2 linked regions of the Coturnix japonica genome follow. The main gene of each other region encodes a partner of the protein of the gene in region 2 in a complex. Links are inferred from orthologs where the notes say so. Each region holds a gene or a part of one and is shown on either strand. Other genes may lie near its edges. The genes, in order: COQ4 and COQ7.

Region 1 (4,322 bases), on a different chromosome or scaffold from region 2:
TCTTCCTGCAAGTCCCTGTTCTGGGCAGATGCAAACCCTACACCCCTGCACCCTTCCAGCACTCCTGCTTATCTCACAGGGAAAACTGAGGCATAGGACGGGACTCTGTGTGGGAAGGTTACACCCAAGAGCAGAGCTCAGGCCAACATGGATCTTTATCAGCCAGCACGTGTGCCTACCTTGCATTGAGACGAACGGGGCCAAACGCTGCTCCCAGCACACACATGGGCAGCCCCGTCTGGACAGCTTCGAACCATTTCACCACGACCTCACCTGGCAGCAAGCAGAGCACAGTGAGCAAGCACAGGGCACGGCCCCACATCGGGACAGGAGCCCTGTGTTATCCCCCAGAAAGGCTGCGCTCCTGGAGATCTTTAGTGATGCAACTGCTAAATGAGGATTTCCCTGGGTATCTTTCCCCATCTCCCAGCATGGAAAAGCCCATTTTCAGCCACATCTGAGCCAGAACCTTCCAAGGGACCAGAAATGCTGCTTCCTGCTGGCTCACCAGGAAGGCTCAGCTTGTGACTTGGAGTCAGATATAAAATGAGGGGAAAGGACACAGGGAGGCACACATAAGGAACAACCAGGAAACCCTTGACAGAGCTTGTGTAACACCACATTGTGATCTAACCCAGCAGACAATGAACACACACAGATGACAGAGGACAGTGGTGCAGGGACAGGGATGCTGCCAGCCTCCCCATGCACCTCTCTGGGCTGGGGATCAGGGATTCTAATGGGCCAAAAACCATCCCTGGGCAGCATGAAACGTGGCAGCTCACCCAGCATGTTGGTGGGCATGCCCAGCAGGGTGTGCATCAGGTCGTGCACTTCTCGGTACCGCTGGATCACATACGCCAGTTCTTCATCATCCACAAACTTGGCTGGCATGCGGGTGTCCGGAGAAACCTTCTGCAAGGGCAGAGAGCTGCAGGTCAGCCAGAACTCAAAGCTTCTGATCTCAATCTTTAACACACAGCAATGCAGAGCTCACCATCAGTGTATCTCTCAGCCCCTAATGCTGTGGGTATCATTTACACACATCAAACACACGGGCTGCACAGCACCAAGGACGCATAACCCACACCCAGCATCACATCCCAACCTCTCAGCTCCCACCAACTCCTTTCATTTCCTCCAGGTGCCCTATGGGCTTCTCCACAGCCACAACCTCCCTCTAAATCTCATCTGTGCTCCTGGCACAGACACCAACCCCAGTGAGATCCCAGGCTCACATTGTCCTCCAAGAAGCGGACGTATTCACGGCCCAATGTGCCATCTGGCAGCCCCCGCAGCCGGGCCATGTCCAGTGTGGAAAGGTGGATGCGAGGCCGCTCCCTGGAACAGAAAGCACTGAGCATCATGTGGGACCCACACACTGGGGGTGCTGGGCAGATGGAGACCTGGACAGCCCTCCCTGCCCTTCCCAGCGCAGCCCCTACATGACACAGAAGACACAGAAGCAAAAGCCATCAAGTCTTATCTCACAGCGCAGGGAGATGCTGTGGGTGGTGGAATGAAAACCTGGAGGTGCCTATGGAGAAGACAAAGCAGTGGGGGTGGAGTCCCCAAGGGAGGAGATGCTGCAAGGGATGAAACAGAAAACACAGCATCTACATGAAGAGAGACAGCACCTGCCAGTGGCAGCAGAGCAGAACAGACTGTGATGCTGAAACAGCCCAGGGGCTCCGTGCTGCTGCCCTGGGACCTGCTGCAGGGCTCTGCTGTGAGCTGAGTACAGAGCAAAACCCACAGCTGGGAGGCTCAGAGCTGACAGATCCTGAGCTCCTCACAGGGCAGCAGTGTGGGGGTCTCCTTTACAGGGCTCAGGGAATACACCCGGATCAATGGGGTGGATGGATGGGGTCTGACAGAGGGGCAGAGGTGGAGGGCTGGGGCTGGGTATGGGGAACGCACTGGAGGATGCGGTAACCTTCGGGGTCATTCCTCATCCTGTCTCGCAGCTTGGGCAGGGCAAGGCAGCCCGTGGTCTCACCGAGGACTGCCACCATGTCTGAAAGAGAGACTGCACAGTGATACAGCAGCACCATCCCTGCACTCCTGCATTTGTGATGCCTGGACACATTTTGTTGATGGGAGGAGAGGGGACCCCGAGTGCTGCAGGGGGTCACAGAACCATCCAGGTTGGAACAGCCCTCTCAGACCCCCAGGTCCAAGCCCGGCCCACCTGCCATGCCCACCCACAGCCCCACCATTCCTAACAGCTCCATGGATGGTGACCCCAGCTGTGCAGCACCGCTCCTTCTGAGCAGCAATGCTCCCTTATATCCAACCTGAGCCCCCGCAGCACAACACGGGGCCGTCACCTCTCATCCCACCGCTGTTCCCCATGAGCAGAGCCCGACCCCAGCTCACCGCAGCTCCTTGCATGGACTGCAGGGAGCGGTGAGGTCTCGGATCCATCCCACCTCCCCTATCCCCACGCACCGTGCCTATAGGGATCCCACAGCGCGGCGCACGCCGAGCCGGCCGCCAGCAGCGCTTTCTGCATCGTGCTGGTGGGGATGTGCCCGGGGTACAGCGGGACGCGTCCCACCGGCTGCTCTTCCTCCTCCTCCTCCTCATCCTCAGCGCGGGGCACAGCGCGGCCCAGCCCGGCTCTGCCTGCGGGGAGCGGCGGTGGCAGAGCTCAGAGTCACGGCGCTCGGGACGAGTGGGTTCCCATAGCGGGGTTCCCTTACCCGGGTTCCCTTACCCGGGTTCCATTACCGAGGTTCCCTTACCCGCAGCGCCCCGCACCGCCCGCAGCAGCGCAGCCCGCCCCGCCGCCCCCCGCAGCATGGCGCAGCCCCGGAAGCGGCGTGGCGGGGCCGTGCGGGGCGGGGCGGGATGGCGGCGGTTCCTGCGGGGCTGTTCGCCGTGTACAAAGCGCCGGGGGTGGCGTGGAACAGCGTGCGGGATGCGGTGGAGACGCGGCTGCTGCGCGGTGAGCGGAGCTCAGGACCCCCCCAATGCCCCATACACACACACGGCTCGGTCTCGGTCTGTGCTTATTCTCCCGTTCCTTGCAGAGCTCAACGCGGCCCCAGCGCGGCCCCCGCGGAGCCGCATCCGTTTCCTGCCCGCTGCGAGCGCGGGGCCGCCGGGGCTGGTGGCCGTGAAGGTGCCGGTGTTGGCCGAGCACCGCCTGGGTGAGTGAGCACCGGGGGGTGCGGGAGAACAGGGAGAACCGGGAGGGTCCGTGCTAATCTCCGTGTCTGTCCGCAGTTCGAGGGCCCCGCTTCACGCAGCTGAAGATCGGAGCCGGGCACCGGCTGGACGTGAAGGCATCGGGGGTGTTCGGTGCGAGCGGGGCGTTGGGTGGGATGGGCCTTAACGCGGCCCCGCCGTACCGGCAACACGCGGCTCCCGGCTGCGGAGCATCGTGACCGGCACGGCTCTAAGGGCCGCCCCGCATCCTGCATTGCAGTGCTCGGCGTTGGACATGGGAACAAGCTGCTCAGCCACCTGCACAACTGCCACCTGAGCAAGGTACGTGCCACGGGAACCCAGAGCGACCTGGGACGGGATCTGAGTGTCGGTGCCACCCCGGGGCTGGTCCGGAGGGTCGGGTCGGCGGTGGGCCGGGCTGATGGCTGGACTCAGTTGTTCTGAGCCTCCCTTTGATGGATGACACCCTCTGCTTCTCTTGGAGGTTTACACGGTGAGGGGGCAGTTTGGTAAAGCCACCGAGGACTTCTCAGACACTGGGAAGCTGATAGAGAAGACAACGTTTGGTAAGAAACGGAATCGATGTGTTTAAGGGGGAAATAAACCCTCAACAGAGCACTAAGCAAACAGTGCTCCAGCTGAACAGCAAGGCCAGGTGAAATGCACAACCAAAGGCAATGCTCCAAATGCTTCCTGGCCTCTCTTTATGCACGTACCACATTAAGGTGCCTTGATCCCTAGCCCTAACCACTGCTGACACCAATGGCACCACTCAGGCTGCTGTCCTCCCAGTCTCCAGATGGATTTTGAGGCTTTGTTTCTACCTTGTGATATTTGCAGATCATATCACGAGGGAGAAGCTGGAACGGATCCTCGCCGTCATCCAAGGAACAAACCACAAGGCCTTGCTGATGTACGTATGTACGTGGCTGTGTTTGCCATTACAGCTTGTAAAGGTTTGAGCACTACCCCAGAGCAGACAGAAGTCACTTGGAGTGCTGTGTGTGCCAGTGACACTGTGCAGTGTCCTTATGTATCCTGACACCTCCAGCTCCAATAGGACCTGCTGAACCAACACTGATACCTTATGGATGTGGCCAAGCATCTCCTTCCCCACCTGCTACACTGCTGCAAACAGCACAGCATTC
Region 2 (4,517 bases):
TGTAGACCATACATGTAGACCTAATGTAGCCTTTTTGTTTGCATGGTGCTAATGTTTAATGCTGGTTTGTTGTTTGCAGCCTCCTTATGTTCTATTTTATTGCCTTGGCTGGTGCGCACAAAAGAGTTGTTGAGCAGTTAAGGGAGCAACTGGTTATGGTAAGGTTTCACCCACTATATTTTTGTAGTAGTTTTCCTTGTGGCATCCGTAATTAGGCATACAGAGGACAAACAGTCTTCCTGATGTGAGGTAAATGATTTCAAAGCCATTGTTAAACTTCTAGTTTAGGCAGTTGAGAGAGTGCTGTTAACCACTAATTAGAGTGCTGGTGATGAGAGCATCTATCTACTTCTAATAAAGAAATGAGTTAGATATAGAATTTGTACGTGTTTTTATCTGAAGTGTACTTTTTATTCTGTCTTTCCAGGAGAGTCGTGACAAGTTGTTCCTAATTGAAAAACTAACAGAAGCTCAGAAAAATTCTTGAAAACCACAAAAAGCCAGAAGTTCGCATGTGATGCTCCTGGAACCACTAGATAAGGGTAGATGATCTGCAGGATGTAAAAACAGCAGCTGACCAGTACTGTGATCTGTGTAGCAGGTGCTTAATGTTTTTGTTAGTGTTGATTATGCTAGTGGGCCTTATAGTTTCCAAGACTGGAAGTTTAGCTTATTTGTACCATATTAGACCTGTTTGAAACATTCTGTGGCAGGGTGTTTTACTGCTGCTACCATCTCAGAGCTGTTAGGATCACTGATAAGTTCCTGGTTTGTTTGTATTTTTCAGGAGTTTGGGGCAAATTATGATTAGAACTGCAACCATTTAAGAACTCCATGCTGTTTTTATAAATTATACTTGAAATAATTGGGGTGGGGTGAGTGGTTTGGGGGCGGGGGCTGACTTTTTCCCACCCAGATCTCTTTTAAAACGGAAGCAAAAGAGACACATGTCCGTGATTTGAAGTAGTGCAGTTGAACACTAGATCAAGAAGCATGAGGAGGATCTCACTGCTGTGCAGGAGCCTCTCGCAGATGGTAAGGCTGTACTGCTTGCATTTCAGCTCTGAACAAGTGCCTTGAATACAAGTGCCTCGAATACTGCTCCGTGTTCTAAAATGTGAATGTTTGGGCGTTATTTATAGTCAGAAATGCAGCATTCAGAGCTCGGCTGCTGCCCTTTAGATCTTGTTTAATGGACAGATGCAGCTGTGTGACTCAGATCGATGGTTCCACGTAACCTACGAGTTTCTCCCTCTATTTAAAGGCAGTTTTCCTGCACATTGCTGTGTACATTACTCGACATTTCCTGGTCGCACACTGGTGTTTCATGTAAGATAATTCCTTTTTACGTGATGTTTTGTAATGTTTTCCGTCCTCAGTTTTTGATTAACGTGTAATAAACCAAATTTTAAAATCCAGTATCTGATCTTTTAAAAAACGTTTTATTGGACGATGGAAGCCGTGTTGGCAGTTTGTTTTTTGGCTTTATTTGGCTGTGAAACACGTTTAACACGACGCTACCATGTGTGAGGCCTTCCATAGCTTCCCCCTGTGGCACCAAGCGGGATCTACCTCATGGCTCCCGCCTCATGGGCTCCCGCTTCCCGCCTCCCTTTCGTTCCTATGGGAACCAGGAGACGCTGATTTAGATTGACAACTCCGCTGCCCAGTGCGGAGGAGGCGGGCAGCCAATGGGAATCGTGATGGCGGCGGGAGGCGGGCGGCTCGCGGTGATGACGTAAGCAGCGCGACGCAAAGGCGTCGGGGTCAGCGGGATGGCGGCCGCCGCGGTTCTGACCCCGGCGCTGCGGGGCTCGTTGGGCCGGTACCGAGCGCTGAGGGGCCCTGCGGGTACGGAGCTGCCGCTGCCCAATGCCGGACGGACCGAGCCTTTCGCCTGGGCACTTACAGCCGGGGCCGGGCGGCGGCAGAGCCCGGCTCACCTGTGTCCCTTCCGGCAGGTCGCTGTGGAAGGCGGCCTGTCCCCGCCCCGAGGCCCTGCAGCACGAGGCCGGCTCTGCACGGCGTCAACAAAGCCGTCATCGATCGCATCATCCGCGTGGACCACGCCGGGGAGTTCGGTGCCAACCGCATCTATGCCGGGCAGATGGCCGTGCTGGGCAGGTCGGCAGCCGGGCCGCTCATCCAGGTGCGTGGACACGAGCCCTCCTGGTCTGCGTTGCGCTGCTTGGTTATAGCGGAGAGTTGAACTTCTCGGGTCTGTGCTGTCATTTGGTTCTGTTACAGCAAATGTGGAATCAAGAAAAAGAACACCTGAAAAAGTTTAATGAGTTAATGGTTGCATACAGAGTCCGACCTACTGTCTTATTGCCTTTCTGGAATGTAGCAGGCTTTGTTTTAGGTGAGTTTGTGTTACTGTTGCTGTTGTTGGTTTTGGAAGTCTTCACGTGCTTCAATTATTCACGTTGTTTCAGATTTCACTGTTTGTGTACGTTTGGTACTGCAATCACAGGGGCTGCAAGCTCTCTGCTTGGAAAGAAGGGTGCAATGGCTTGCACAGTAGCAGTGGAAGAGAGCATTTCAGACCACTATAACAACCAGATCCGAACTCTGATGGAAGAAGATCCAGAAAAGTACAAAGAACTGATGCAGGTAACTGTGGCTTGAAAGGGACGTCAGAAATTCATTGAACTTTATAATATGACTTGACTTTTAAAATATTGCACCAATCTGGATTTCCAGCATCTCTCAATTCTGTTGTTTAGAATTCCAAAGTGAATAGAAATTTTAGGATAAAAGATGGCTCTTCCTTCCTTCAGCAGCACTAAGCCTATTGAGTAGCAAATTAAAACATACATTAGATTAACTTCAGCATGCTTTCAGTGCTTCATTGCTCCCCTTTTCTCTGGGAGAGGTGGGACTTAATTGTGGTTACTTTTAATTGAAAGGTAGGGGTTAGGAGGGAGAAAAGGGAAAGCAGTGATGACATGATCATATCCAGCATAAGCAAAATGTTACTATGTGAGTCTAGTTTTGAACACTGCTCAGAGGAAGAAAGGAGTTAGTGTTTGTTAGCTCTGCAAGAGAATTATTTCCCAGTTGCTTTAGGAGTTGCACTGGGATGTGCTCCTGTAGGGTGTTCATGAAGGGCTGACCTCAGATATTGCAAGTTCAACTTATTTGTGGTAGGAGCTTACTTTACAGCCTGTGTATACAGTTCTAGTTCTTTGCTGTATGTTACTGTGTTCAGTTGTGTCTAGTTTAACATGCTGACAAGTCTGCTTCTATCCAAATTGTATTTGTGTTTTTATGTAACCAGATTGTGCTGATGTGCATAAGGAAAATATTGCCTATGAAAATAAGGGCTGGTATCTGAGTGCAGAATACAGAAGAAGGAGTTGAGTAATAATGTTATTCACAGCCTCAGTATGAGGAACAGTAATGAAAGCAAACTTCTTGGATGGGGACAGTGGCTGGAGTTATTCAGATGTCCTGGTTATCTCCAGTCAGACCAAGAGGAAATTCTTTAGATCTTTTTGTCCTAGTTGGAAAACTTAGAGGAAAAAAACAGTGTTCTTTAGACTATGCTGAAATGGACAAAAGCTGTGTTGGGTAACAAGGAAATACCCTTACTGGTAATCTGTCAAGGCAGACGCCTTAATTTAGTTAATTGAATTGTCAAGGTAGCAGATGTGTGTGACAAACCAGTTAATTACTGTGACTACAGGTTTTCTTAAAATTTTTAAAAAGATAGTGATATAGAATGGCCTGAGCTGAAAAGGACCTCAGAGATCACAGTAGCTTTGTTTTCTTCAATACTCCTGCAGAACATTTAAATAACTCTAGTTTGGGGAGATGATATAAATAATCCTGTTCTTGGAAGTTGAAGACCTGGGGAAGCTTCTGAGAGACCCGGGCTTACTCTCGTGCACACAATGAACGACAGACTGTGGTTCTGTATTCAGCTGCCTTGACTTTTCTGCAAAGCAGACTTACTAATTACTTGCTGTTTTTAAAGATAATAAAGCAATGTCGGGATGATGAACTGGAGCACCATGACGTTGGGCTTGAGCACGATGCAGAGAGAGTAAGTACAGTGTTAATTAATTGGTGCTGCTCTATTTCAGATAAAGCTCCATCCTGCTAAGTACTTCTCATTTGTTATTCTTTGTTTTACAGGCACCGGCTTATTCTGTATTGAAGACGGTAATACAGCTTGGATGCAAAGCTGCAATATATTTATCAGAAAGAATTTAGTGATGTTTTCCATAATGCTTGCAGTAATAAACTGTGAAACGAAAATGTATGGAAGACTAAGCTTAGTTTTTATTCAGACTTTTAACATTTTCTTAATTGAGCATGTTTTGACCACGTCTGCTTTTGTCACTTTGAGTACCTGCTCAAAAAATCAACACTTGAGTCGTTTGGGCTGAATGTGAACAATGGCAGAATTGGCAGAAACTGTTCACAAGGTGGCAGTAAAATATGTATGTATTGACATACAGACTGTGGGTGTGTATTACATAGATATCTGCACACATGAACACAGTACGTTT

What was found.
Region 1: COQ7 (region 2) and COQ4 share a complex: the UniProt entries of both Homo sapiens proteins name them as parts of the multi-subunit COQ enzyme complex. The link is inferred for Coturnix japonica from reciprocal best matches to the Homo sapiens genes COQ7 and COQ4.

The regions. Positions count from the first base shown.
Region 1 is NC_029532.1:3,727,667-3,731,988, forward strand, and holds the start of COQ4 (ubiquinone biosynthesis protein COQ4 homolog, mitochondrial), read right to left. Parts: upstream 2,821-4,322; 5' UTR 2,806-2,820; coding exon 2,748-2,805; intron 2,629-2,747; coding exon 2,452-2,628; intron 2,018-2,451; coding exon 1,921-2,017; intron 1,342-1,920; coding exon 1,239-1,341; intron 916-1,238; coding exon 786-915; intron 274-785; coding exon 180-273; intron 1-179. Other genes in the region: mitochondrial mRNA pseudouridine synthase TRUB2, read left to right, coding at 2,854-2,950, 3,036-3,155, 3,232-3,306, 3,434-3,495, 3,659-3,740, 4,015-4,087. UniProt on the Homo sapiens protein: Lyase that catalyzes the C1-decarboxylation of 4-hydroxy-3-methoxy-5-(all-trans-decaprenyl)benzoic acid into 2-methoxy-6-(all-trans-decaprenyl)phenol during ubiquinone biosynthesis.
Region 2 is NC_029529.1:8,179,453-8,183,969, reverse strand, and holds the start of COQ7 (5-demethoxyubiquinone hydroxylase, mitochondrial), read left to right. Parts: upstream 1-1,717; 5' UTR 1,718-1,775; coding exon 1,776-1,851; intron 1,852-1,961; coding exon 1,962-2,149; intron 2,150-2,247; coding exon 2,248-2,362; intron 2,363-2,473; coding exon 2,474-2,613; intron 2,614-3,979; coding exon 3,980-4,048; intron 4,049-4,140; coding exon 4,141-4,218; 3' UTR 4,219-4,517. Other genes in the region: TMC7 (transmembrane channel-like protein 7), read left to right, coding at 80-158, 428-487. UniProt on the Homo sapiens protein: Catalyzes the hydroxylation of the 5-methoxy-2-methyl-3-(all-trans-polyprenyl)benzoquinone at the C6 position and participates in the biosynthesis of ubiquinone.